7 linked regions of the Neurospora crassa OR74A genome follow. The protein of the gene in region 4 purifies or fractionates together with the protein of the main gene of each other region. This does not show direct contact. Links are inferred from orthologs where the notes say so. Each region holds a gene or a part of one and is shown on either strand. Other genes may lie near its edges. The genes, in order: NCU06929, ckb-2, ckb-1, NCU00133, NCU07870, NCU09302 and NCU04327.

Evidence for each region.
Region 1: the proteins of NCU00133 (region 4) and NCU06929 purify together in Saccharomyces cerevisiae (affinity purification with mass spectrometry; 5 studies listed by BioGRID, with this or other methods). This does not show direct contact. The link is inferred for Neurospora crassa OR74A from reciprocal best matches to the Saccharomyces cerevisiae genes POB3 and SPT5.
Region 2: the proteins of NCU00133 (region 4) and ckb-2 purify together in Saccharomyces cerevisiae (affinity purification with mass spectrometry, with the first as the bait; 4 studies listed by BioGRID). This does not show direct contact. The link is inferred for Neurospora crassa OR74A from reciprocal best matches to the Saccharomyces cerevisiae genes POB3 and CKB2.
Region 3: the proteins of NCU00133 (region 4) and ckb-1 purify together in Saccharomyces cerevisiae (affinity purification with mass spectrometry, with the first as the bait; 3 studies listed by BioGRID). This does not show direct contact. The link is inferred for Neurospora crassa OR74A from reciprocal best matches to the Saccharomyces cerevisiae genes POB3 and CKB1.
Region 5: the proteins of NCU00133 (region 4) and NCU07870 purify together in Saccharomyces cerevisiae (affinity purification with western blotting; 4 studies listed by BioGRID, with this or other methods). This does not show direct contact. The link is inferred for Neurospora crassa OR74A from reciprocal best matches to the Saccharomyces cerevisiae genes POB3 and POL1.
Region 6: the proteins of NCU00133 (region 4) and NCU09302 purify together in Saccharomyces cerevisiae (affinity purification with mass spectrometry; 3 studies listed by BioGRID). This does not show direct contact. The link is inferred for Neurospora crassa OR74A from reciprocal best matches to the Saccharomyces cerevisiae genes POB3 and CMR1.
Region 7: the proteins of NCU00133 (region 4) and NCU04327 purify together in Saccharomyces cerevisiae (affinity purification with mass spectrometry; 3 studies listed by BioGRID, with this or other methods). This does not show direct contact. The link is inferred for Neurospora crassa OR74A from reciprocal best matches to the Saccharomyces cerevisiae genes POB3 and MCM2.

What each region holds. Positions count from the first base shown.
Region 1 is NC_026507.1:793,248-797,545, reverse strand, and holds the start of NCU06929 (transcription elongation factor spt-5), read right to left. Parts: upstream 2,801-4,298; 5' UTR 2,496-2,800; coding exon 2,130-2,495; intron 1,960-2,129; coding exon 1-1,959. Other genes in the region: NCU06928 (hypothetical protein), read right to left, coding at 3,280-4,298. UniProt on the Saccharomyces cerevisiae protein: The SPT4-SPT5 complex mediates both activation and inhibition of transcription elongation, and plays a role in pre-mRNA processing.
Region 2 is NC_026501.1:3,448,660-3,452,577, forward strand, and holds ckb-2 (casein kinase II subunit beta-2), read left to right. Parts: upstream 1-1,280; 5' UTR 1,281-1,654; coding exon 1,655-1,711; intron 1,712-1,794; coding exon 1,795-2,040; intron 2,041-2,122; coding exon 2,123-2,677; 3' UTR 2,678-3,418; downstream 3,419-3,918. Other genes in the region: NCU11228 (DUF1339 domain-containing protein), read left to right, coding at 1-603; NCU02755 (PAP2 domain-containing protein), read right to left, coding at 3,749-3,918. UniProt on the Saccharomyces cerevisiae protein: Regulatory subunit of casein kinase II/CK2.
Region 3 is NC_026506.1:1,759,333-1,763,255, forward strand, and holds ckb-1 (casein kinase II regulatory subunit), read left to right. Parts: upstream 1-1,377; 5' UTR 1,378-1,810; coding exon 1,811-1,969; intron 1,970-2,038; coding exon 2,039-2,881; 3' UTR 2,882-3,423; downstream 3,424-3,923. UniProt on the Saccharomyces cerevisiae protein: Regulatory subunit of casein kinase II/CK2.
Region 4 is NC_026503.1:2,736,417-2,740,373, reverse strand, and holds NCU00133 (FACT complex subunit pob-3), read right to left. Parts: upstream 2,801-3,957; 5' UTR 2,554-2,800; coding exon 2,543-2,553; intron 2,387-2,542; coding exon 2,164-2,386; intron 2,108-2,163; coding exon 1,614-2,107; intron 1,556-1,613; coding exon 1,184-1,555; intron 1,127-1,183; coding exon 529-1,126; 3' UTR 265-528; downstream 1-264. UniProt on the Saccharomyces cerevisiae protein: Component of the FACT complex, a general chromatin factor that acts to reorganize nucleosomes. The FACT complex is involved in multiple processes that require DNA as a template such as mRNA elongation, DNA replication and DNA repair.
Region 5 is NC_026503.1:1,179,566-1,182,421, reverse strand, and holds the end of NCU07870 (DNA polymerase alpha catalytic subunit), read left to right. Parts: coding exon 1-151; intron 152-200; coding exon 201-1,955; 3' UTR 1,956-2,356; downstream 2,357-2,856. Other genes in the region: NCU07869 (INSIG domain-containing protein), read right to left, coding at 2,849-2,856. UniProt on the Saccharomyces cerevisiae protein: Catalytic component of DNA polymerase alpha, which in complex with DNA primase (DNA polymerase alpha:primase) constitutes a replicative polymerase. POL1 has a role in promoting telomere replication during interaction with CDC13.
Region 6 is NC_026507.1:10,021-14,153, forward strand, and holds NCU09302 (WD repeat-containing protein), read left to right. Parts: upstream 1-1,333; 5' UTR 1,334-1,569; coding exon 1,570-2,107; intron 2,108-2,172; coding exon 2,173-3,200; 3' UTR 3,201-3,850; downstream 3,851-4,133. Other genes in the region: NCU09303 (hypothetical protein), read right to left, coding at 1-965. UniProt on the Saccharomyces cerevisiae protein: DNA-binding protein that binds to both single- and double-stranded DNA. Binds preferentially to UV-damaged DNA in vitro. May be involved in DNA-metabolic processes.
Region 7 is NC_026505.1:5,630,912-5,634,860, reverse strand, and holds the start of NCU04327 (DNA replication licensing factor mcm2), read left to right. Parts: upstream 1-1,149; 5' UTR 1,150-1,301; coding exon 1,302-1,306; intron 1,307-1,389; coding exon 1,390-3,760; intron 3,761-3,902; coding exon 3,903-3,949. Other genes in the region: NCU04328 (metaphase-anaphase transition protein), read right to left, coding at 1-184, 244-298, 353-486. UniProt on the Saccharomyces cerevisiae protein: Acts as a component of the MCM2-7 complex (MCM complex) which is the putative replicative helicase essential for 'once per cell cycle' DNA replication initiation and elongation in eukaryotic cells.

The sequences.
Region 1 (4,298 bases), on a different chromosome or scaffold from region 4:
CTTGTAACCACCGCGTCTAATAACCACGGTTTGGTTAATGGCCCGATCAGGTCCGAAGGTTCGCGGAGCTGGCATTTGCTTGCCGCTAGCAGTGGGGTTCCGCTTCAGGGCTGGGTTCATCGCACTGAGATCTGGGCCCGCAGTAGCAGTGTTGCGACCACCCTTGGCCGCGACCGTGGTGACGCTGTTAGCCCGAGTGACGAAAACACCAGCATTCTCGTTGGTGGTCGTGGTGTGAAGGAAAATGTAAGAGCGATGAATGTGAATGATCTTGCCCTGGCGTTGCTGGCCACCATATTCACGGACCACGTCGTCCAGCCTGATTTCGGAGCCGTTGCGGTCAGCAGCCACAGCGAACTTCCTCTTGGGGAGCTTGTTGGTGATTTGCGACGGCTGGACCTGTTTGGTATCGCCGTTCTGGTCTAGCACCACGACTGACTCGCGATCAACCTTAACGATGCAGCCGACAGTCGTGGCATCCAACTGCACAAGATCCAAGAGGGAGTACTGTCCAAGAGAGCCTTGGCCACCAATATCAGATGCCTCACGGAGGTCTTTGCTGAACACGGTGATCTCCGTGTTGGTCTGGTCTGTGAGGAGGGTGACTCTGTCGTCCACGATCTTGACAACCATACCAACTTCGTCACGGAACCGGCTGCCACCAATGACCTTGACGTGGTCACCAATCCTGAACCTCTTGCGCAGACCCTTGTTGGGGACGTCGATGGTCCGGCCAGCAAGATCACCCTCGGTAACCTGCAATGTGACGATGTCGCCTTGAACATTGGTGGCCTTGCCGATGACACCCTGCTGCTCGCCCTCATACACCTCGATAATATCACCAGGGACGTACGCAACACTCTTAGCGCTATCCTTGAGAGTAGCAGCAAGAGCCTTAAGATCGAGGTTCTCTGTACCGTCCTCGGCTCCACTGGCGAACTTGGTAACCTCCTCCAACGTAGGGTTGACATTCTTGACCTCGAGCTGCTGGATCTTGATGTCTTTCACCTGGAAACCGTTCTCGAAATCATCGCCGTTGTAGTTCCAGCTGTTGGTCTGCGGGTTCCCCTGGAGGTAACGGGGGTGTCTCTTGCGCGCCTCGGCTTCACTGAACAGACGCTGGGGAGGACGAGGGCCGGGCACACCGGGGCGCTTGCGCTTGCCATCGGCCTGGAAGACGGGGTCATCCCTGACACCGTAGTCGAGTCTGGGAATGAAACGGACTCTGGCCTCGAGGCCGTTTTCTGTAACGTCGATAACCTGAGCAAGATCACCGGCGTGCTTGGCCGGCTTCTTGAGACGAACCCAAGCGCCGGGCTCCAGGTTAGGCGTCTTGATGACACGCAGGAGGTCGGGCATGTCCTTGATCTCGACGAGGTGCATGTTGCTCCTGGGATAAACGTTGAGAATGCCATCGAGAGCCACGAGAATATCGTTCTGTCTTTGAGCCTCAACGTAGATGTATCCCTTCATGACCGAGTTGATACCACCACGTTCGAAAGCAGCCGTGATGGGGACCTCGTTCTTGGTGCCCATTCGCTCTTCGATACGACGCATAATCGAGAAGATGACCTCACGCTCCTTTCCTTCTTTACACCTGACGGCCCAAATGCTGGGGTCCTCGACACTGGGAAGAAGCAAGCGACGGGGCACAATGGCCATGTCTCCGTAACCTCTAGCCGGGGCGCGCTTGCCGTAGCGCTCACGCAGGATCTCTGCCTGTTTCTCAGCGTCGAGGCTGGCCTCCATCTCTCGGCGGCGGTCGAGCTCGCGGTGTCTTCTGTCATCGTTAAGGCGGCCGCTGTCGGCAATATCGTCAGGGTGGGCATTGTCGATGAAGTCCTCTATCTCTTCACCGTCGCCGACTTCGTCTTCTCCCTCGTCTTCGTCGTCAACTTCGGCTTCGATATCGAAGAAGGCAGCTCTACGGTCCTTGTTGCGACGCTTGCGACGATTGCCCTGCGGACAAAAGACAGCGGGTTAGCTAGGTCCCCGATGTGGCGACACGGGTAGGTTTGGCGGGTCATCTGCACCGGGACTTGTCTTTTGTTGTTTTTTTCTGGCAAGTGTGGATGGGATGGTGCTGCAGAATTGAAGTGTGGAGGGACATTATTGGGATCCGGACTTACACCATGAACATCATCCTCGTCTTCCTCATCTTCCTCTTCCTCTTCGTCCTCCTCTTCCTCCTCATCTATCTCCTCGTTCTCCTCTTCATCTTGCTCTTCATCCTCGTCATCGTCGTGGTGATCTCGACGCGATCGCTTGGCCGGGCGCGCGTCTTCCTCTTCGTCATGTTCCTCCTCTTCCTCTTCTTCGTCTGGTACCGGGCTACTAGCCTGCCTCACGGTCTTACCAGCGGGGCGGTGGTTGTGCGTGGTCTCTTCGTCGTTGTCGTTGTTCTCCTCGTCCGACATGTCGGCGGGGGCGGGGTTGAAGTTGTCATCGTCGGACTCGTCGTCGGCGCCGGCGAACTGCCAGCTGTTTGACGCCATTCTGAATAATTTATCTGAAAGAGAGCGGCGAGCGACAGGGGTGTCGTACAGTCGTACTACCGGCGGTCGCGCGTTGTGTCGAGGTGTGGGCGAGAGATGGAAAAGGAGAGAGGAAGGGAGAGATGGCCGTAGGTCGCGAGATGTGGGATTATATTTGTAGGTGAGAAAAGGAAGATTGGCTGGCCTCGAGCCGATGGATGATGTGGTGGGAAATGGACCGACTTTTGAGGCGTCGACTCGCTGTGAGTGTTCAGTTGCAGACTTGCAGCAGCAGCACCGCGGGTCGTGAGGCGGAAAGAGAGCTGCACGGCCCACAACTGGACAGTGAGTGGGTGGACTTGGAAGCACGGACGGTCACACCTCCACCCCCGGTTGGTTGAGGACACTGGACGGCAGGGGAGTGTGCTGCTGCTGCTGCCAAGCACTGGAATAAGCCGCTAGGCTATTCGCGGCCAAGGTCAGGTCTCCGGCCGGCAAGAGGTTCCTTTTGTTCAGGTTACATTCGACCAGGACCTTGCAGTCCAGGACGGGTACCTAGGTAGGTAGAGATACCTCATCGTCTATTCATTTGCGCACGTGGCTGAAGTACAAGTACTTTCAGCTGATAGAGTATGTAGAAGAGAGCGCTGCACCGTGATAACCTCCCTTTCGTTTGCCCTTGTCAACACCATTACTAGGCAACCTTTCATACCTAGTAAACACGGCCAAGTAAAAGTCAACTCCTGGCAGAGACAGACAGACAAAACTATCTACATGATACAGCGCTCCTCCAGGAAAAAAACAATCACCTGACCACCTCCTTATCCTTCCGGGTGACCGTCTGAATGAAGCTCTGATACTGCTCATCTTCCGCGGTCTCCATCATGATTCTAGCATTCCGCCTCGGTGGAAGCTCCCTAATCTCCGGCTTGGGTATCTGCTTGTTTGCCGTCGTCCACAACACTCCCCCCGTCCTTGCCGCCTTTGGCGCTTTCAGTTCCGCCGCCGCCGCTTCCTCCGCTCTTGATGGAGCATCAATCATCACCACCTCCTTGTCCTTGTCTTTCTCCTTCGCGTGTTGTCCCTTTCCAGACCCGGCCGCGCCGGCCCCGTCCTGCGCCTTATCTCCTTCTCCTTCGCCGTTCTCTGCCGTCTCGGTGGGTCTGGGCAGCCTCATGGCCAGTAGAACGTATTCGCTTCGTTGCATGGTATCCATGATATCGTCCATGTACCTCTTGACCTCTTCCTCCGGCGCCACTACTCTTGCCAAATTATCCAGCACATGTTTGCCACTGGGAGCCGCCGTAAACAACCTTATAGTTATGGGCTGGTAGTAATCAAGCTCCGGGTCCGCCATCGGATATACTGCTTTGCTTCCCCTCCTGATGATAAGGAATGACGCCACCACCTGCTGTTGCTGCTGTTGTTGTTGTTGCTGTCCTTGGGTACTGCTAGCGCTGCTACTGGGAATAGTCTGATAATCCAGAATGCTGAACTTCGGAAAGAGGTACCGATCACCGTTTCCTCCCGCAAACTCGAATACGATGGCCGAATAATCAGGTTGTTTGGGCGGCGGCGGGGGGCCCTTTGAACGAAGCGCCTGTTGGGCCGATGACTTGTCGGCTTTCTCTCCTTTCTCCTTTGTGGCCTTTTCGGCCTTCTCCGTCGTCTTCTTCTCCTCAGCAGCGTTGGCCTGTGAGGTCGTTCCTGTACCGCCATCAGTCCCATTGCTCGCGCCGTTGGTTTGTTTCGAAGATCCCGCTGCCGAAACCGTTGATTGGCGTCGTTGCTGTTGAGTCTTTTTAGTGACAAGGTTAGAATGCG
Region 2 (3,918 bases), on a different chromosome or scaffold from region 4:
CCGCCTGCTCCAGAACATGCCATCCTCCCACGCGTGCTGTCACTTCTCTCATCGTTCAAGCAGTACTTGGACATTGTGGTGCAGTGTACCCGCAAGACGGAAGTGCGTTCCTGGCGTACTCTGTTCGCCTATCTCCCTCCACCTCAGGAGCTGTTTGAGGAGAGCTTGCAGCGTGGGAGCCTCAAGACTGCTGGCGGCTACTTACTCATCCTCCATACCTTTGACGAACTCGCAACAGCAAGCGAGCAGAGTGTGCGTCTCTTAAGCAGAGCAATGCGCGAGGGCGACTGGGAGCTATGCAAAGAGCTGGCGCGGTTTTTAGCAGCGCTCGATGAAACGGGGGACACGCTGCGTGAAGCAATGGAGCTGGCCAAGATGCGAGTGAAGCAGGAAAGTGAGCTGGAGGATGGCCATGGCAGCGTAGGCAGCGGGCTGGGCACAATGCTTGGAGTTCCTCAGGGTGGTGGTGCTAACGGTGCTTCCAGCACTACCAGCTCATTGATTTCCAATACCAAGGGGATCATAGGTAGTGACTGGGATGCTGACAGGCGCACAATCAGCGACGCCGGCAGCGTTGTCAGTGCTAATCGGTACGAAGGTTAATGAAGTGGATGGAAATTGGAAAGCGGATAGTTGGTTGTAGGATTGTTGGATATCCATAGCCGTGGCGCTCACGATCCTACCAGAACGTCACTTTATGATGAAGCGGGGGTCTTGAGCTCTAGACACATGCTGTAGGGCAACACAGATGTTATAGAAGCCGGGATGTTTCAAGATAATCTAGAACAGCTATAATCACAGGCGACTGGCGTTCTTATCCCCCATTTTTATTTATTTATATATATTTTTTTTGGGTTTTCCGTCTCCAACAATATACCTGCTCAAAAATAAGGCACAAACTGTAGCACTGAACGTCATGACGCCCAATAGAATACCTACCTTAATGACAGAGTACATGCTTCCATCCCCAGTACCTGTGAACGTACAATTAAAGTCATACGCTGGGCCGTTGGGCTGACTGAAGGCCGACGAAAGGTACCCGCCCGCTACCTACCTACCTACCTAGGTAGGTACTTAGGTAGTCAGATGGTCGATTTTGCAGACCTGATAACCTACCTCTGTGTAGTGCCCTGGGTAGGTCGGGACTGCTGATAAACAGACTGCGATGAGCCAGGGGCGGGGGGGCACTGCAACCTGCCCTGCGGGGACCACTGCAACGGCGATGAACCCCCCACCAAAAAAAAAAGTCCCTTGTCATGGACTGTCAGCCTGTTTGGCTCCCGGTCTAGAGTCCAGACCCCCTCGCCTGCCCTGCCGTTGCCCTGCACCAGGGACGGCTTTGAACCCTCTTCCACCTGAACTCCCATCAAACCGTCGCAAAAAAGCATCACAATCCTCTCCAACGTCTTGTCGTCATTGTGCCTTGTGCCAGCTCAATCTCATCCGACTCGGACCTCCCACTCCCCATCTACGGCCCGGCGCGCATTAGTTCGGCCCAACAAAAGGTTCAAACGCCGTACTTGACCCCGGCACCCGGGATTTTGGCCTCGTTGATGCGAAGCGCCAGCCGACGGTCGTTCGCGCCCACTTTCCTCCCACCACCACCTTCCTCCCTTCCTTTTATGCGCCGAGTATAGACGTGGTGTCGCCGGCCATGGATGACTTTGTGAGCGAGTCTGAGAGCGACTATGCCAGCTATTGGCGCGACTGGGTATGCTTCTCTTGCAATTGTTGTTATTGTTTACTACAGTAAAGGTTCCCCAATCATGCTGACATTTGCGCGTCCGCCTGCAGTTTATTTCCTCGCGAGGCAATGAGTACTTTTGCGAAATTGACGAGGACTACATCACTGATAGGTTCAATCTAACTGGTCTCAACACTGAGGTCCAGTACTACCAATATGCTCTCGATCTCATCACCGATGTCTTCGACCTCGACTGCGATGACGACATGCGGGAAACAATAGAGAAGTCTGCTAGGCACCTGTACGGTCTTGTCCATGCTCGATACATTGTCACAACGCGGGGTCTTCAAAAAATGGTCAGTAATCAACTCTCAGCATTCCATCTTCATCCAGCGTCTCCTCGTCTTCATCCGTGACTAACGCACTTCCCACCAACAGTTCGAAAAGTACAAAAAAGCCGACTTTGGCAAGTGCCCGCGCGTCATGTGTTCCTCGCACCCTCTGCTGCCCATGGGTCTCTCGGACGTGCCCAACTCCAAGCCGGTGAAGCTGTACTGCGCGCGTTGCGAGGATATTTACAACCCCAAGTCGTCGCGCCACGCCGCCATTGACGGCGCCTACTTCGGCACCTCGTTCCACAACATCTTCTTTCAGGTATACCCGACCCTGGTGCCCGCCAAGAGCGTCGAGCGCTACATTCCGCGCTGCTACGGCTTCAAGGTGCACGCCGCTGCCGCTCTGGTGCGCTGGCAGAACAGCCAGCGGGACGAGATGCGTAGGCGGCTGAGGAAGCTCGAGGTCGAGAGCGGGTTCAAGGACGCCGAGGACGAGGCTGAGCTTGACGATGATGACGAGGAGGAGGAGGAGGAAGAGGAGGAAGAGGAGGAGCTGGCTGCTATGGATGAGGCTGAAGGTGCCCAACAGCAACATGCGGCGGCGGCGGCAGGTACAGCAACGGGAGGCGTTGCTGCCGGCGGTGAAGGCGTTCATTAGAAAGGGCCTGCTGCTACTGGTGGAGAAGCGGATGAAGAGTATTGGAATTCAGAAGCCACGATTGGAGCCGCCGACGAAGCTGACGATGAAGCTGAGCTACCAAACGAGCCAAACGAGCCGAACCATTGGTTGACACCTCTCATGTCTGCTGCTGCAAGGCTGCGACGGAGTCTCAGGCTAGGGGAGGACTATGAAGAGCAGGCTGAAGTGGAGTTCGATGAGTGGATGGAACAGGCGAGGTACGGGATCTTTTGACTTTTGAGGTGGTGGAATGCATATACCATACAGTATCGAGTAACAAAGTATGAGTACAGGTGCCTCTCTTCTCTTTGTTTTTTTGTTTCTATTCCCGCACCCCATAAGCCTCTACACAGCGGACGTCGGGATCGATGCGAATAAGGGAGAGAGAGCCATTGATAGAGTGTTTATGTTCTTTGGTCTAGCTATACGTCTTTTCGGTTCTTACCAGACGATTTCTTCTCACCTTGCCGGCTTTGCTTCTCTTCGTCTGTGCTGAACTGCACCCTTCTCTGTTTCAAGCCTCCTAAAAACCAATCGTCAAATCGACGGGAAGTTGAACTTAACGCTTGAAAGGCAGTCTCTTGGAGCGTGAAAATTCAAAACGACCAGACCATATATCCAAGCGTCTACTGAGGAAAGATTCACAAGCGGTGTCATGCGGCAACACGAACCTTTCAAATACATGAACTGTTACCACAGCATAAACACGTTGATTAATGCCGAAGACCAGTGTGCTCAAACTTCCCTTGAAGAGTTACCAGGTAGATATGTGTACATATGGATAGGTTCCTCATTTCCCTATCTCAAAACGCCTCCTGAACATAAGAGAGACTGTACCAAAACCCATGTTGGTGACATAAAACCATTTGTTGTTCCTCATATTTCCTCGTTTAGAGAAATAATCGCTTTTGTCATCAAGCCCACCCATCCGGGCCAAGTCCCTACTTCCGGAAAATGCACCTTGACTCTTCTGATCCGACAATGCGTCGAAATTTGCCTTTCATATCTGATCGTCATTTACCCGTCTCTGTAAGCTGTGTCAACCTGTTCTCATTGATCAACGTCAAGCGACGGTGGTTTCCTCCCCGTGATGATCCCACCGGGCTGGTCCGGTCCCACATTGCTTTCCAAACCGGTGCCATTGGCCCGTACCACGGGGTGCCCATAGCTGCTGCCGTGATCTAAAGAATCCGGACTCAGCGCCTCCTCCTCGTCTCCCG
Region 3 (3,923 bases), on a different chromosome or scaffold from region 4:
AAACCTTATAGATTATATACGTAGAGTATCGGAATATAACTTTATAAATCCGGAGGTTTATAAACTATATAATTTTAAAGGTAATTAAGGATTGTCCGCCTAACCCATTAACCCCATATTTATCAACCGTAACCAGTATAATAACTACTATATATTCTCTTATAATAAACCGCCCTACCGGGTAATATAGTAAAATACTTAGAGAAGGGGGAGGGCGCTAATATTTATATTTCGCTACTATAGTAAAAGTAAAGGAGGAGGAGGTATTTAACGAGCGGTAACGTAGGAGTTAATAGGAGAGGGCCTTACGCGGGTAGATTTAGAAGTATTTATTTAGAACTTTATAGAAAGTATTATATTATAGCAAATATTAATATTAAAAATACCGCTAGCTCCCTTACCTTCGCTTTTTTACCCCCCAACTCCCTTATAGAGAACTCTAACACCCTCTCTATCTCCTTATCCCTAAGTTTAATAATAGCCGCTAATTTAGTAATAGCCATCTTATAACTATATACTAACTCCTACCGGCCCTAATTAATTCAATTATAAATTATTAGCTTCTATTAAATAGCTGCCTTAATACTAGGATAGTCCGCCACCTTCTAACTAATAATAAGGGGAGGGATAGGTTATACTAGCAATATAGTATAAGCGAATTCCAGCCCCTATAGCACTACCTCTAATATTTCTAGTATATTTATAGGGATATAATATAGGGGTTCTCCAATACTCTAGGTAGTACTTTGGATAGTATTTATACAACGGGTATTAAAATTAGGGTAGGCACGTACACTCTAACTCTAGGCAATAAGTATAGTATTAGAACTAGCAAAGAGGACAGTAGTATTACTAGCAACTATAGTATTAACCGCCTTAGTAGTAGATTATTAGGATAATTAACTAGATTAACGATTTTTGAATACCCTTATATAAAAAAGAATAACGTAAAAGACGTAGATCTAGTAATGCGCGGGCATCGGTTACGTGGCCTCTATTGTATGTGTGTACTGGCTGGGCGGCTGGGCGGCTGGCTGGGCTTACTCAGCGAAAGTATGTGGGGGGGACTAGCCAGGGACCAGTTTGGGTCTAGCCAGCTACCTTTTGCGTTCATCAACCATCACCAAATGGACCCTTTACTTATCTTGGTTCCACCTGATAAAGTAGACGGTTGGGTTCCGACGCGCTGCCGCACGCGCATGTGGCAGGGCTCAGCAGGGTTATGTGAGAAGGCGCAAAAATCAGGCATCATACTACCGTGGGGCTGGGCGCGGGGCTGCTCCCTGCGGGAAGGGTTGAACGAGGAGGATTGGGAAGGGCCCAGACTGAAAAGACGGGGCGCGCCGCACAGACCAGACACCCACGAGTGGGCTGTAGCACGAAATGAGGGCGCGGGCTTCTTCTCGAGCAACCCCAAAAGGCAAACAGACTGAGCCATCGAGTCGACGGCCTCCGTTAGCGCAAACTCCAAAAACAGCACAGGAAGGGAACCACCAACCACCTCCTTCGCTGCAACACCACGTAGACAATCATTGAAGCGCCTAGCTATTCTGTCTGTCCTTTCGTCCATCTATTTGCGCCATCTCATGCGCTCGGTCATGTCTACGCAATAAACAATTGAACCCTTCCATCCAGCATCGCAGATGAGCGTCGACCCCAAGGGACACTAGCTATACCCAGTCGTCGTCTTGCGCCTTTCGATCGCACTCATCAGATAACGTCCGATAGCGGTACCAACAGCCTCATCGAACGCCTACTCCGTCGCCAAACACTCGAATCGTTTCGCGTCGCTTCCATATCCAATTCCACCATGTCGAGCTCGTCGGGCGTTCCAGAGTCATGGATCGCATCTTTCTGCTCCCTCCTGGGACACGAGTATTTTGCCGAAGTGTCAGAAGAATTCATCGAAGATGACTTCAACCTTACTGGCCTGCAGACCCAGGTCGCCATGTACAAGGAGGCTCTCGAGGTATGCTTGTTCTGGAACCTTTTTGTCCGTTACGTCAGCAGCTAATCATTGTGGTTTTAACCTGACTAGATGATCCTTGATGTCGAGCCCGAGGACGATGATGACGAGGAGGAGGAGGACGAGGAGGACGAGGAAGACATGTCCGGTGGCGACGGCATCAACAAGCCCCACGGCGAAAGGAGACATCACAGCCGCATCGCGAGCGATCTTTCTGTGATCGAGTCCTCGGCCGAGATGCTGTACGGTCTGATCCATCAGCGCTTCATCTGCTCGCGGGCGGGTATCCAGCAAATGTCGGAAAAATACGAGCTCGGTCACTTCGGCATCTGCCCACGCACAAACTGCAACCAGACCCGCACGCTGCCCGTCGGCCTCTCGGACACGCCCGGCGAAGACACGGTTAAGCTGTTCTGCCCGTCTTGCTTGGACGTCTACGTACCGCCAAACAGCCGCTTCCAGACGGTGGACGGCGCCTTCTTCGGCCGCACCTTTGGCGCGCTCTTCCTCATGACCTTCCCCGAATACGACTTGACCAAGACCGGCGCTGAGAGCGTTAGCAATCTCACACGATCCGGCTCTGACGACACCACCGTCATTAACGGCATGTACGCGCGCAACATAGCGCCGGGGCTGGGCAGGGGCAAGATTTACCAGCCCAAGATCTACGGGTTCAAGGTGTCAGAAATCGCGCGTTCCGGGCCACGCATGCAGTGGTTGCGCAGCAAGCCTGACGACTTGAGCGTGCTGGACGAGGCTCGTCGCTATGCGGAACAACAAGGGTCGGATGACGAGGACGAGAGCATGGGTGTGAGCAGCAGGACAGCTTCGAGGCGGCGGGGGCCTCCTAGGAGGCAAAAGCAGAACGGGAGTCCGATGGCGATCGAACAGAATGGGGCTGAGTCGGAGCTTTGAGGTCGAAGTTGTAGGCTGGAACTTGGGTTTAAATGGATATTGAAAGGGGAGGATCAGGTTTTGTAGGTAAGGAGTAAGGAATTGTGTGCGCAAGCATCTGGACAACGGACTGTTGATCACTTCTTTTTTACATCTTCCTCTAAACCTGGCATTGATTTGTATCACACGCACAAATATCCTTTGGGCTTTCTTTCTGATTCTCTACGTCATGGCGGGGGAATGGACGGACGGGTTCAGGAATCGGTTACAGTAGCTTGCAAGAGCGCTTTTTGGTTGGGTTGGGGTTCTTCTTTTTTCTTTTCCTTTTTCTATATCAAGGTTGATTTTCTCTTACACAGCGAACTCGGACGTAAATTCGCATTCCAATGATGATTGCATGCCGGTTATAGACGATGAGAGGAGGACGCAATATTGTTCGTTCCTCTTGTGGTTTACCCGTCAGTTCGCAACGCAGTTTTAAATTAAATCATCTTGGTTTTTCCACTTCACTACCACCCCCTACGCGGAGGAACCCCTTCTGACCATGGTAGCTACATTCCAAGATAGGTATTTTTGTTGCTGGCAAATATGGGTCCGTCATAAGCCGGTCATACGGGAAGACTCTGTCAGTAACATGACCATCGGATTACTCCATCCTTTTATCTATGACCTTTTTTGTTTCTTCCTTTTTTTCATTTTCTTTTTCTCTTCCAACTCCCCCCCCCCCCCCCCCCCCCCCGACCTACAATTCTTGTCTTTCTTCAACAGTCTTGTTGACTATTCTCTCGATGCCATACTGTCATGCTGACTCACGCAGATCTTAGCCTGTCTTCTTCCTATACTGCGGCTACCGAATTTTGGGATGTGAATTTACAAAATACCTACCAATCAGGAAAATGGGTTCACATCTCACAAGCGTATGTTACCAATCTCATCAGCCTGATGCAAAGAACGACCGACGACGAATATACAAGCTATATTAGTATTGACAGAAGAAGACAAAGTAAACAGATTGTGATTGTTGTTGAAGACAGAGATGGATATGCCAATTTATTCGAGGAGT
Region 4 (3,957 bases):
GACAGAGCGGGAACGCATAGAGGTAGGTACCTACCTACCAGGTAGGTAGATTTTTGACCGCTAGAGCGATACCCACCTCAACCGCCTGCACGCCCTGCAGGCTGATACATTCCATGCCGTACTTTTGGAGTACGGCCTCTATCCATCCTGCGGCCCTGAAGAAGAAGCGAAGTCTCAAAGGATGTGCCGATGTCTTATGTTCGTTGTAGTCGAAGGGGAAAAAAAAGAACCATAACGGATCAACTAGGTAGCTGACCATCTGCCTGCCGCTCTTCAGTGTTCATTAGCTCCATTGCGCGCCCAAGTTGAGGGAACATCGAGATACTAGTTTGACACTGCCGTTGGGAATGTCGTCTTTGACGCCCCAAGTATCGTATCGATATATGGTAGAGAAAATACAGAATTAACACATATTCGTGTCACGAAAGTACCGGAACGCCCCAAATACCCAGCTGCCTGCCTGCCTTCCAGCCTGTGATCTGCCTTTTTAATCAAACAAGTAACGACGCGCCAACATGAAAAATAAACCTAAGCCGTCTTCTTCTTCTTCTTGGGGCGCTTCTCTCCCTCGTCATCATCCATATCCTCATCCTCATCATCGACCCGATTGTCGACGTCGCTCTCCTCGCTGCCCGACCCATCACTCTCATGGTTGCTGTCGTATTCCTCCGCCACGTCGCTTTCGGACTCAGCCTGGAAGTCCTCATCCACGCTCTCCTCATCCTCGTCAGCGGAGCCACGATCAGCCTTGGGGCCGACGGCCTCTTCGTCCGAGCTAGCCATGTCGTCATCGCCCAAGGCGGCGGCAATAAGGTTGGTGTCATCATCAATTTCGTTCTTGACACGCAGTCCTTTGAGCTTGAAAAATTCCTCGAGAGCCTTCAAGTCTTCACGGTTAATGTTGCTGAATTGGGATGAGCCCGCGCCGTTTTTCATGTGGACTGTAATGTCGAACGTCGACAATGCCGAGACCGCACCGCCCACGCGTGAAAACGTGATGGACTGTGTCTGTTCGTATGAGATGTACGTGGCCGGCTTGGGGACAAACATAAACGCCTTCTCCAAGCAGTAGAGGAATCCTTCACTGGCTTTGATAGAGCACTTGATGCCGTACTGCTGACGGTGCCTGCGGGTTCCTAGGTCAGTACCGTTGCTGGCTATGAAATGAACAGATATAACTCACGTTGTAAAGTCCTTGGCTGGTGTAGTGACTTTCTTGTTCGCAAGTCCCTTGAAAATGTACGCCACAACCTGATGAAGTGGTTGCTCGTAGTGGCTCTGAAGCTTGTCCTTGTATTTTCCGTTGAGTTCCTCCTCGGTGATGTTCAGGTCAAGAGTCACCTCTTCGTCCGCCTTGAACTGCATCACCACAAATGGATAACGTGTTTGACCTTGACGAAGGGGCGGGTCGAGACCAATGCAAAGCAAGAAATGGAGATCGTCCGGCTTGGGAAGCACCATAAATTTCTTGATAGCATCGTATTGGATCTTGTAGTCGTATGTTTTGCCACGGAGACGGAAGGAGGCATCGTACATGTCGATGTCGAAACGTCCTCTATCGGGAGAGTTAGCACCGGAAAAGGATCAACAACCAGCGTGCAGTTTCCACGTACCTGGGCGTGAGATGTAGCACATCGAGGAATGTAGCGATAGTATCACCCGCCGTCTCACCAATCTCGGCCTTCTCAATAAGGGTGTCGTAGAACAGAGTCACGGCGTTCTTCTCTTCTTCATCGGCGTCGCTACCAGCCTCACCACCCTCGGCCTCCTTTCGTGTTGTCGTTCCAGGGATGTAGAAGCGCACCTCGACCAGCTGATCCTTGCCGGCCGACGCCTTCTTGCCCTTTCCGCCTGTTCCGCTGTGACCGTTCGACTTGCCGCCATCGTTGCCGGCGAACTCGACTGCGATTTCGTTCCTTCCGGCAAGATTTGTATTGGAAATCTCGGAGTAAGGAATCTCAAAGGCCGGTCGGTTTTGGACGTTGAAAGTGAGCTCGGCTTTGCTAAACTCAGCCTTGCCCCAGTTCCATCCTCTCAGAGAGTGTTCCTTGTTCTCGAGGTTCACGCTGTACCAGTTCTTGAAGATCTTGCTAAGGCGCTCGTAATCCTGTGGCAACACGTCAGCGTTCCTTCGCTTCGATGGCGCGTGGATAGGTTTCGTACTTCTTGGTGGAAACCATCGAGCTGAACTACGCCAGAGCTTCGCAATAGGATTTTAACCTCATAGCCCCTCGCCGCCCTGCTCCATTGAGCACCGCCGATGTTGCTCGAGTCGAGAGTGAACGCTTCGCCGCCACCCGCAGGTTTCCATCCCAAGCCATTTTCCGCGAATCTCGACTTTCCGCTCTCCTTGGACAGATCCAAGTAGATATTGTCAAAACTCTCGCTGTAAATGAAGGTATTAGAAATGGCACTGAGCTGTGATCTCCGCCGGTGAAAGCCGTGCCCTACGGCGTAGATGGAGCGGGGCACATCCGTCGTCGCAGGGTTAGACGAGCAAGAGCGCGCGAAAGCATGAAATCCAGAAAGGTATGCGACTTACATGGCAGCCATATTGCCCCTCTATCCAACTGGTTTAATGGTGAGTTGGGGTTGATGGACAAGTTGGAAATGGCGTCTGATGTTGTGGCAGTGATTGCAAAGTGTTGCAAGCAAATACTGATGAACAATCCAACTGAAGGTTCGCGTGCCTCGGAGAAAGTTGACCGTGTCGCGACTAGGCCAGTTCGTTAATTGAAGGTTAATTCGGCTGGCAGGTGGCATTCCGCTGGGCTAGGCGACGACCCATGCTGGTGGCAGGTGGCAAGTCGCAGTACTACTGTACGTGTAGGGTCTACGCAGTGGGCAACAGCTTGGTTGTAGCGCGTGGCAACTGTGAGCTTCTGATTTCTCTCCCAAGCCTGCAAGAACACCACCACTTTATTCAGTTGTCACCTTCCAAGGAAGCTTTGCCAACGACACACAGGCCTTCTTGTCGCTCTGAGAGTCATTCACTGTTTGTATCATCTTGAATGTCTAAAAGAAACTGCGTCCTCTTGTCCTCCAATCTGTCGCGATCTACAGTAACACAACACCTTCCATTCTCTTGTAGTTACGGATCAACAATTATGTTGGGTGGTTTTTTCACATTTGAATTCTTTGTATCTCGCTCCTTCTTGCTTGTATTCGTTCCGCTAGTGCTCGGCCCGTTGAACACGGGAGGGAAAGAGGACGTTCCAAGCGAGTCGCTTCGTTACGTGGGAAAAGTGTCCCCTCGCGACAAGCGTTCCTTGTTTGGTCAGAGCATTTTGAAGCTTTCAACTGGTTCCAAATATGCCACTTGGGTTGCCACTCTCAATCTACTAAACAAACTCAACATAGCTTCGGTTCATGGACATGGGCGCGATTCCCAATATCGTCAACCCCCCAAAAAGCATGTGGGGCTAGCGCGTGGAGCTTTAAGTGGTTGCATATGATATCTTCCGCGCCTGTTTCATGACATGGGATTGTATTAGAGGTACTTAGTCACCTTAAGTGGTAATGTTCTCTGCCTTGTACCACTTCTTGATCTCTTTCTTTTTCTTCCCTTGAACACAAACATAACTCTCAAGTTAGTTCGTTCTTGTTGTGCCCATTGGCTGTTTCACAAGGGCGGAAGACTCGCTCACCGAAGGTGACAATTCCCGTCGTAGACGTTCCTGCCTGCGGCCTTGACCTGGAGACCACGAGGGGCACTTATACGCCACCCCACGATTGACGTATTACATGCTTGAACTGGTGGCATCCCGCACACCCGCTCAAGCTGCCCCGCCTCGACTTCCTTCCGTCACTCGTCTGCCCTGATCGTCATATTTCGCTCGGTTTCTTTATTCAAACAGAACGAAGCTCTCCTTTGTTGCCTGGGCCGTTTGTTTGCCTGCTTCAATTGAACCTTAGCTGGAGCTATTAGTATACCGAACTTCCGACTTGCACACTTAC
Region 5 (2,856 bases), about 1.6 Mb from region 4:
GAAGAAGGACAAATACAAGGGTGGTTTGGTTTTCGAGCCAGAAAAGGGTCTTTATGACAAGTTCGTTCTCGTCATGGACTTCAACTCCCTTTACCCTTCCATCATCCAAGAGTACAACATTTGCTTTACCACAGTTGATCGAACATCACTGGTAAGTCAGGGTCCTTCCTCCGTTGACGTCACAAGCTAATGCAAAGTAGTCCGAGGACGATGATGCTGTTCCCGAGGTTCCCAAGGAGCAGGCGCAGGGCATTCTTCCCAAGCTGATTGCCACACTCGTTAGCCGACGTAGGCAGGTCAAGTCTCTGATGAAAGACAAGAATGCCACACCTGAAGAGCTCGCCACCTGGGATATCAAGCAGCTCGCCTTGAAGTTGACTGCCAACTCCATGTACGGCTGTCTTGGTTATACCAAGTCGCGCTTCTACGCCCGTCCTCTTGCCGTGCTCACCACCTATAAGGGTCGTGAGATTCTGCGGAGCACCAAAGAATTGGCGGAGAGCAACTCGCTCCAGGTCATCTACGGTGACACGGATTCCGTCATGATCAACGCGAACAAGGACAACGTTGCTGAAGCCCTGCGTGTCGGCCACGAGTTCAAGAAGGCCGTCAACGAGCGGTACCGCCTCCTTGAGATTGATATCGACAACGTCTTCCGGCGCATCCTCCTCCAAGCCAAGAAGAAGTATGCTGCCATCAACATGGTCGAGGTCAACGGCAAGTGGGTTGAGAAAATGGAGGTCAAAGGTCTCGATATGAAGCGTCGTGAATACTGCGGGCTATCCAAGGAGATCTCCAACCGTATCCTCACCGAGATCCTCTCGGGAGACGATACTGAGGTGTCTGTCCAACGCATCCACGAGTACCTTCGTGACATATCTGCCAAGATGCGCGAGGGTGCCGTCCCTGTGCAAAAGTACATCATCTCGACTCAGCTTGGTAAGGCGCCCAAGGATTATCCCAATGCCGACTCGATGCCGCAGGTCCAAGTCGCCCTTCGCGAGTTGGCCAAGGGCAAGACCATCCGTAAGGGCGACGTCATCTCGTACATCATCACAGGCGACAGCAAGACCACCTCAGAAGCCGTCGCCAAGCGTGCCTACACCCCTCAAGACGTGCTCAAGGCCGAATCTGGCCTGTCTCCGGACGTAGAATGGTACATCGGCAAGCAAATATTCCCTCCAGTCGAGCGTCTCTGCGCCAACATTGTCGGCACGTCGACCTCCCAACTCGCAGAAAACCTCGGTCTCGACGTCCGCCGCTACTCTTCCAACACCAACAACAACTCCTCAGGCCCACAAGACCTCGAAATCCACCCTCTCGAGTCCCAAATCCCCGACTCCCTACGCTTCCAGTCCTGTGCGCGCCTCTCCCTCCGCTGTCGCAAGTGCAAAACCTCGCACCCCTTCGAGGGCCTCGCTTCCCCATCATCCGTCAACAACGTCACGCCCTCCGGCATCCAATGCCCCTCATGCCAATACGTCCTCCCCATGCTCAGCGTCGTCGCCCAAGTTGAAGCCGCCGTCCGCGCCCAAACAGCACGCTACTACGAAGGCTGGCTCGTCTGCGACGACTCCTCCTGCGGCAACCGCACGCGCCAGATCTCCGTTTATGGCACCCGCTGTCTCGGATCCAAGGGTCTGGCGCGCGGCGAGTGTGGCGGCCGGATGCGGTATGAGTACACGGAACGGGACATCTACAACCAGCTGGTGTACTTTGCTAGTCTGTGGGACGTGGATAAGGCGAAGAGTAAGGCCAAGGAGAACAATGATGAAGATGTGGATGCTGCTAAGCTAAGTGCAGAGGAGAAGGAGAGGGTCGCCATCATGGCGGAACATAATCGTGTTAGGTTTGGTACGGTCAAGGGCGTGGTGGAAAAGTATTTGGATAAATGTGGACGGAGATGGGTGGCGATGGATACGCTTTTTGCCAAGTTGGGGTTTGTTCCCCAGTAAGTGGGCATGGACAGGAAAGCTGGATGGATGGGTATGTGTGAAAACGGGTACTAAAGTTGAGCGGATGGTTTCCCTCCAGTGTTCACATTGTCGACATCGGCGTTAAGGATTGGGCTTGTTTCCGAACTACGGGCTTCTTTTCTTGAATGATTATAACTTTTTTTTCGATGCCCTACGTTTGCAACTATTGTCAACCCGTCAACCCCTTTATATATCGTCATGTAACCAGTCTAGGATGGTGTTGGCCCGATCTACAATTTTCTTTGGTATATCTCACTCCCACTCCCAGGGCAGGGATACATCCCCGACCCTCTCGCCTCAACCCTAATCCCCACCCACATCCACAACTACCACATTACAGCCTTATAGTCCATACACCCAAACCAAACATACAATAATAGGCAAGATGGCCGAGCGGTCTAAGGCGCCACGTTAAGGTCAACCCTTAATCCGAGTGAAAATCTCAGTTCCGTGGTCCGAAAGGGCGTGGGTTCGAATCCCACTCTTGTCAGCACATCATGTATACCCCCACCAAGCTCAGGTGGATTTCACTTTTTCAGTATTCTTTTTTTCGCCTTTTTTTCTTATCCTGCCTTTTCCTCTCGGTTCTCGTTTGGGGGTCAATATGATAGAGACATAATATGAATCTAGGCCAGGCTAAGATAAACAAGATGCAAGAAAGATCTCCATATGCTTAATAGCCTTGTAAGACTCCCTTGATATAAACGCCTCCGACGGGACTGCTAAATAAAAGTACAGAGTTGATAGCCGACCATTCTCGATGGATGTGTGTTGAATCATTCCCGCTGCATGAGTAAAGATAAATTGAAATGACTTCCAAGAGACTCATTCCGTTGTTGCCCTTGATGTGATGTGATGTATCAATGACGAAATCACCTAA
Region 6 (4,133 bases), on a different chromosome or scaffold from region 4:
AGGTAGGCGGGGTAGAGAGGGCCGTAAAGGTGCATGGAGAGTCTCTCCTGATCTGGTTCGAACTCGTAGCCGTACTCGTAGTCTCCATCTTCTTGCACCTCCTTGGTCTTACGTCTTGTCTTCTTCACAGGCGCCTTGGGGACCGCGGACCGGTCGGTAATGCCCAGCTTCTTGACCATAGAGAAGACCTCCTCTTCCAGGATATCCCATAATTGAAAGTCGGAAGTGGCAGCTCTCATCTTCGACTCGACTCGGGTGCGTTCTTCGCGTCTCATAGCTTCCTCGGCAACTTGCTTGCTGAGGGGATCGGCGGGGAGCTGTTCTTGCGTTTGTTCGGCGGTTCGGGCGTTGTCGAGGATCGACGATCTCCCCGTTCCCTTGTCTGCTTCAAGGATACCAAGGGCCATGCGGGCGGCCTGGCGCAGGCTTGGAGGGAAACGCAGGAGGGCGCTGTCACGGTCGACGGCGCGTTCTGTCTGTCCAACGGGCGAAAGGGGATCGAAGGGTCGCTGGACAGGCCGCCATTCCTTGCTGTATGCGGCGGAGGCGTCTTGGAGCAGAATCTTGACGGTGTTGTGGGCGGCTTCGGGGTCGGGGTCTTTGATGCTGATCTCCAACGGGTCGTCTTCCGTAGTCTTGTTTTTCTTGACTATGTCTTGAAAGATGGTGTCGAAAGCATAGCGCTCTGTGGGGGTTAGGGTTGTCTTTTGTCCCTCGCCGAGGTCTTCTGGTTGCCATTTCCGCCTGGGCTTCTCGAATTGTTGACTTGGGAGGTCGAAGGGGATAGGATCTCTGCCGAGCATCGATGGGGCTACTCTTCGGCCACGAGATGGAGGCGAACGAGAATCGAATTTGGATTCGGATCTGTAGTAGGCGCGTAGGGCTGTTGTCCTGAGACTGGTAAGGGACAAGCGCTGAATAGTCCTGGTCTGGTAAAGAAAGGGAAACATGGTTGTCGACGACATGGTGGCGATGGTTCGGTTCCGCCGGGTTTCGGTATAGCGACTATGGCCTCTAATTCTGTGTCCTCTGATATTGTTGCAAACAGGTACCTGTATCGTGTCCAGCACGGTGTGACAGCATGCGATTTGTTGGTGGAAGGATGGGGAGAATGCAGGAAACCGCTCCAAGTCAAAAAGTTCCCAATCCAAAATTTTGGAATCGATCAAAGATTCCTTGCCTGCCGGAACGGATTTTGCCCCGCCAATGTAGGTAGGGAGCTGCTAACAATAACAGCGCAAATTGACACGGTAAACCGTTAGTGCATCGAGCGCTAAAAGACCCTACCGGCCTCAACAGCGAATGGCTATCCCGTGATTTCGTGCGCCGATTCGTTTCTCGTGCATCGACGCGACCCGTCGGGTGGCGCGCCTTTGAGATTTTAGTTCCATTGATTTTCCATATCGATTGCGACCATCTGCTGCATTAACCACACTCGCGTTGCTTCCTGTCCTTCCCCTCCGTCCATTCTCGAACAATCACAGCGTTTGGTGACCATCTCTTGTTTTTGCAGACCCGTTTTTGTCAACTCTCATTGTCTTTACCAAATCGTCCTCCTCGAGTCCCAAGATGCCTCCACGCAAGAAGGAAACCGTCATGAGCGAGTTCGAGCGCAAGCGCCTCGAGAACATTGCCTACAACAATGCCATCCTTAGCGGCATCAGTACCACGGCAGACAAGATTATCCCGAAGCCAGCGCCTCCCAAACCCAAACGCGCCAGCACCCCTCGAGTCAAGCGGGAACCTGTCAAGAAGGAAGCAGCCCGTCCCACGCGCCAGAGCAGTCGCCTCGCCGGTCTCGAAGCGGATTCCGCAGTTCTCAAGCGCAAACTAGATGTCGAAGCTGAGGAGGAAGCGGCAAAGGCCAAGGCCAAGAGGATGCGCGTCAGCGGTGACTTGAACCTGGGCGATATCACGGTCGAAGGTCGCAAATGGGAAAGCAGTGCCGACGGTCTAGCGCTTCTGAAGGGTCTCGGTGTACGAGGGGCGCAACCAGGCGTGAGGACGTTTACAGAAAAGGATGTCAAGCATACCAAGGACAAGGGGTTGAAGGACCTGCGGTTGCGCATGAGCGGACTCAAGTTGTACGAGAAGTGGGCAGTCAATGGTACCTCTAACCCAACAACGGTCCCTACGACGATGGATGTTCCACTAACAAAAGTGTTGTAACAGACATTAAAATCGTACCCCAGCGCATCTACTCCATGTGCTTCCACCCCACGGAAGAAAAGCCTATCATTTTTGCTGGCGATAAAGAAGGCGCCATGGGCGTGTTCGACGCCTCCCAACCCACGCCCAAAATTGAGGACGACGATGAAGATGCCGAATACCCAGACCCCATCATATCCGCCTTCAAAACCCACTCCCGCACTATCTCTTCGTTTCACTTCTCTCCCACCGACGCCAATGCCATCTACTCGGCCTCGTATGACTCTTCGATTCGCAAACTGGACTTGGACAAGGGCATTTCAACCGAAATCTTTGCCCCGTCCTCTTCGTCTGAGGATCTCCCCATCTCCGCCATCGACATCCCGACCACCGACCCAAACATGATCATCTTCTCCACCTTGCACGGCTCGCTAGGTCGACAAGACCAGCGCACCAAACCTTCCTCGGCCGAAATTTGGGGCTTAACTGACCACAAGATTGGAGGTTTCTCCCTGCACCCTCGGCATCCCTACCTTGTCGCGACCGCCTCGCTCGACCGCACTCTCAAGATTTGGGACTTGCGCAAGATCACGGGCAAGGGGGACCTCCGCCACCCTGCCCTTCTAGGGGAACATGAATCCCGTCTTTCCGTTTCGCATGCTTCCTGGTCTTCGTCAGGACACATTGCCACTTCTTCGTACGACGACCGCATCAAAATCTACAGTTTCCCCTCGGCTGGCGAGTGGAAAGCTGGGCACGACATACCGGCAAAGGAAATGCAACCGACGGTTGAGATACCGCATAACAACCAGACAGGAAGATGGGTGACGATTCTGAAGCCGCAGTGGCAAAGAAATCCACAAGATGGGTGGCAGAAGTTTGCCATTGGAAACATGAATCGGTTTGTGGACGTTTATGCAGAGGACGGAGAACAGTTGGCGCAGCTGGGAGGGGACGGGATCACTGCGGTGCCGGCGGTTGCCCACTTTCACCCAACCAAGGACTGGGTGGCCGGCGGGACGGCGAGTGGGAAATTGTGTTTATGGATGTAGTGGTGGCAGTGTTCATGTGTCTGGATAGCTGGGTGTTCCTAGTGGTATTTCTTGATTTTTGCTGTACGGGGTGTATTCTGGGACGATGGAGTTTCTGCGATGATACCATGTTTGGATGACGAGATGTTGGTGGCAATAGCCTCATGACGATGACTGAGTGTTTGGCTTTCGCCTTGCCATGGCATTTATTCCGTCCTTGCGCATACGAGGCCATATAGTCTTGGATTTATTATTTCGTCTCTTATACTCCTTTTTTTTTTTTTTTCCTTTCCGTTCTTTTTTTTCTCCAAGCTGGGTTGCACCGTTCTTACAAAGCCACCAATAGGTACTTTTGTGTCTTGGTGCCACGCGAATGGTGAACATGATTGGTAGCGCAACCACTCGGCCGGTGAGATCTCTGGTGTACCTGAATAGGATGTCTCCAAGTTCTTGTGCTTGATGAAGTTCCGCAGGTATAGGTGGTTATGGAACCTTTCCATGTCTCTTCTCCCAATCAGGTAGCCTAGGGACTTGGGATCACATGTAAATAAGGCATACGTGGCTGAAGTCGTAGCCAAGTTGCCCAACCGTGTTTTGGACCAGGCACTTTGACGTCGCTAGCAAACATACCTGAGAGTAGCGGGTCTCTCCATATAGTGTAGCATCCTGGCAGCCCATAACGTGTGGCATAGCAGGAGTCGAAGATTTGATTTTGGCTGTCAATTGGCCGCGACAAAATAAGCCTCCAATGAAGCCAAAGCTGGGACCGGTATGACGCTCCGGCGGGGAGGGACAACAGGCCGTCTAACGATGATGGTTGCAACCACGACACATGACAACATCAAAACATGCATGGGCCACTCACTTGGGCATATCAGGTTGTTGTCGCAGCACAACTTTCAACAGACTCGCGTCTCACGGCATGGCCAGCCTGTCCCAACATGTTGACCGGAG
Region 7 (3,949 bases), on a different chromosome or scaffold from region 4:
TGAAGTTGCGCTTGGCAAAGATCTCGACGAGAGTGTGCTCGCCGTGACACTGGACGGAGCAGGAGTAGCAGATGCCGGCCGCATTGTAGGGCGCTTTCGGGTCGGCGGGTGGTGGGTTGCAGGTCAGGCAGGAGAAGACGGCCTGGCGGAGGGGGCCGAGGGGCTTGGTGCAGGTTTCGATGCTCTGGTGGGAGGTTAGGATTGACTTTAAGGAAAAGGGCAGAGAAGACAAGGGACACGCACGTATGGAAGAGCTTCGCGAGCGTCGGCCTCTAGTTGCATTTGGTCGCGGATGAAGCTAGACCATGGTTAGTACTTTGTCATGTGGTAAGTCCAATATATGACAACATACTCTGCGGCAGTCTGAGAGTTTTCTGACTTGGCGGAGAAGCTTTCAGTACGAGTCTTGGTGAGCGCGACTGGTGCTGGAGCTCCATGGCCATCTGGAGTGGCCTCGGCGGGCTGTTGCGCCGGTTGAGGGTCCATGGGTGATGGATGCTTTCACGGTCAATCTTGGATGGTCGGTGGTCTATCAAAATTGTTGATAAGACAAATGCCTCGAGATGGTGCTGGATCACGAAAGATGGGTTCTGTCCGGAAGTCTTTAAAACAAAAAACAATTGCTGGGGCGCGAAGAGGAGGAGGAGGAGGGGGAGGAGGAGGAGGAGGGCGCGTTGGTGGAAGCGTGGGGAGAAGGACCGAGCTTGCAATGTACCCTTGGTTTGGTGTAAGGCACTGTGGTCTATATGTCCAAGCAGCACAGATTGGAATTGGGTTCAAGGAAACCTATTTGAACGTGATCCGATCAATAACATGGCCCTGTAGTATGTAGCACCTTATAGCTCATGCTTTGCTCGTCATTGTTCACTGGACTTTGAGCTTTTGTGACTTTTTGGGAATCTCGACGAGTCGAATTGGCGTGTAAGAGCAGCACCAAGTGGGTCCGGTACGCATTGCCAAGCCCATTAAACCTCAGCAACCACTTAACGCGACCGCCCTTATCCGGCTTAGCGCATCACGTCTGGCGCGTCTTCCCTGGACTGCAACGCGAGAAAAAAGCAGGGACAAGGTCGCCGCAACGAAGGGCAACATTCATTCAGTGGTTCCTCGACGCTGTTTGTCTCCATTCCCCTCCCCCCCCCCCCCCCCTTCTCTCTCTCTGTCTCACCCCGCAACATATCCTCTTTCTGGCTGGCATTCATTCTCCATAGTAACAACTAGGCCAGCATCCTCCACTCTCTTGTTTCTTCCATCTGTAGCTGGCTACAGTCCTCTGAGATACCCTCAGCCAAGTCGCAATCATGAGGTATGTGTGCCTCTTGCTCTTTCGTCTGTCACGGCTTCTCTTCGCAAGTAAACAGTGAATTAACGGAAACTCTCCAATACCAGTTCCCCGCTTCGCGACAACCCGTCCTCTGCCAACCGTGGCGCCGTTCCCAGGGCCACTCGCAAGCGTGCGCGTAACGATCACGATGGTGCTTCCTCGCTTCCCCGCGCTTCGAGCCCTGTCATGCCCTCTTCTCCTCCCGCCTTCCCAGTTGCCCATGGCGCAGATGAGGACGACGACATCGAGGAAGACGTCGCCGCTGAAATCGAAGACGACATTGACGACCTCGACGAGTTGGCCGAAGACGATGTAGATTTGTTCCGCGAAGGCTTCGAGCGCGATTATAGGGAACGAGACGAAAACGACGCCTACGAAGGAATTGACATCGACGATGACGAGTATGAGGCCCTCGACCCCGCCGCAAGGCGCCGTCTTGAAGCCAAGTTGGCCCAGAGAGACCGTCAAGTGAGGATGGGAATGGGCACCACGTATCTTCCTGGTGATGACGACGATGGTGATATCGACCTTACCAACCTGGAACGCCGCCGAAGAATCCGCTACAATGAAGACCCCGATGTCGATATGGATGGCGACATTATGGACTCGGAACTTCCCCTCGAGGCCCTGATGGATGTCAAGGCTGCCACTTTGAGCGAATGGATCTCAGTCCCGGCTGTACAAAAGACCATCCGCAGAGAGTTCAAGGCTTTCCTCACAGAATACACCGACGAGAGCGGTTCGTCCGTCTACGGCAACCGCATCCGTACTCTTGGTGAGATCAACGCCGAGTCTCTCGAGGTCTCCTACGAGCACCTCGCTACAGCCAAGGCCATTCTCGCATACTTCCTCGCCAATGCGCCAACCGAGATGCTCAAGCTCTTCGACGAGGTTGCCATGGAAGTCGTCCTTCTCCATTACCCCGACTACGAGCGCATTCACGCCGAGATCCACGTCCGTATCTTCGACCTTCCTATCCATTATACCCTCCGTCAGCTCCGCCAGTCGCACCTCAACTGTCTTGTGCGCGTGAGCGGTGTCGTCACCCGCCGCACCGGTGTCTTCCCCCAGCTCAAGTATGTCAAGTTCGACTGCACCAAGTGCGGCGTCACTCTCGGTCCCTTCCAGCAAGAGTCCAACGTCGAAGTCAAGATCTCTTACTGCCAGTCCTGCCAGTCTCGTGGCCCCTTCACCCTTAACTCCGAGAAGACCGTCTACCGCAACTACCAAAAGCTCACCCTCCAAGAATCCCCCGGCACCGTTCCCGCCGGTCGTCTGCCCCGTCACCGCGAGGTCATTCTCCTCTGGGACCTGATCGACAAGGCCAAGCCGGGCGAGGAGATCGAAGTAACGGGCATCTACCGCAACAACTACGACGCGCAGCTCAACAACCGCAACGGCTTCCCCGTCTTCGCCACCATCCTCGAAGCCAACAACATTGTCAAATCCCACGACCAGCTCGCCGGCTTCCGCATGACCGAGGAAGACGAGCACGAGATTCGCCGTCTCTCGCGCGACCCGCACATTGTCGACAAGATCATCAACTCCGTCGCCCCTTCCATCTACGGACACACCGACATCAAGACCGCCGTCGCCCTCTCCCTCTTCGGCGGCGTCGCCAAGCAAGTCGGCGCCCACCACATCCGCGGTGACATCAACGTGCTGCTCCTCGGCGACCCCGGTACCGCCAAATCACAAGTACTCAAGTACGCCGAAAAGACGGCCCACCGCGCCGTCTTCGCCACCGGCCAGGGTGCTTCCGCCGTCGGTCTGACGGCTTCCGTCCGGCGCGACCCGCTCACGTCCGAATGGACTCTCGAGGGCGGCGCCCTCGTCCTCGCCGACAAGGGCACCTGCCTGATCGACGAGTTCGACAAGATGAACGACCAGGACCGCACGTCCATCCACGAAGCCATGGAGCAGCAGACCATCTCTATCTCCAAAGCCGGTATCGTCACGACCCTGCAAGCCCGGTGCGGAATCATCGCCGCTGCTAACCCTATTGGCGGGCGGTACAACTCTACCATTCCCTTTTCTGCCAACGTGGAGCTTACCGAGCCGATTCTGTCTCGTTTCGACATCCTTTGCGTCGTGCGCGACACAGTCGAGCCTGAAGAAGATGAGCGGCTGGCGCGCTTCATTGTCGGGTCGCATTCGAGGAGTCATCCGTTGATGAACAACAACACGCAGGACGCTAGCGGTGGTGACTCCATGGAGGTTGAACACGATACCCAAGCTGCTGCGGAAACCCAACAAACTGGTGAACACGGCCGTAAAAAAGAGGGCGAAATCCCACAAGAGCTGTTGAGGAAGTATATCCTTTATGCCCGAGAGCGGTGCCAGCCAAAGTTGTATCACATGGATGAGGATAAGGTGGCGAGGCTGTTTGCGGATATGAGAAGGGAGAGTTTGGCGACGGGGGCTTATCCTATTACTGTAAGTTCTTCCCTCTTTCCTTTTTCCTTTTTTTTTTTTTTTTTTTTTTTTTTTTTTTTTTTTTTTTTTTTTTTTTTCTTTCTTCCTCCGTCACAAAATACAACACAATAACAACTGCTAACCTCACCCACCACCACCTTAGGTCCGTCACTTGGAAGCCATCATCCGCATCTCCGAAGCCTTCTGCCG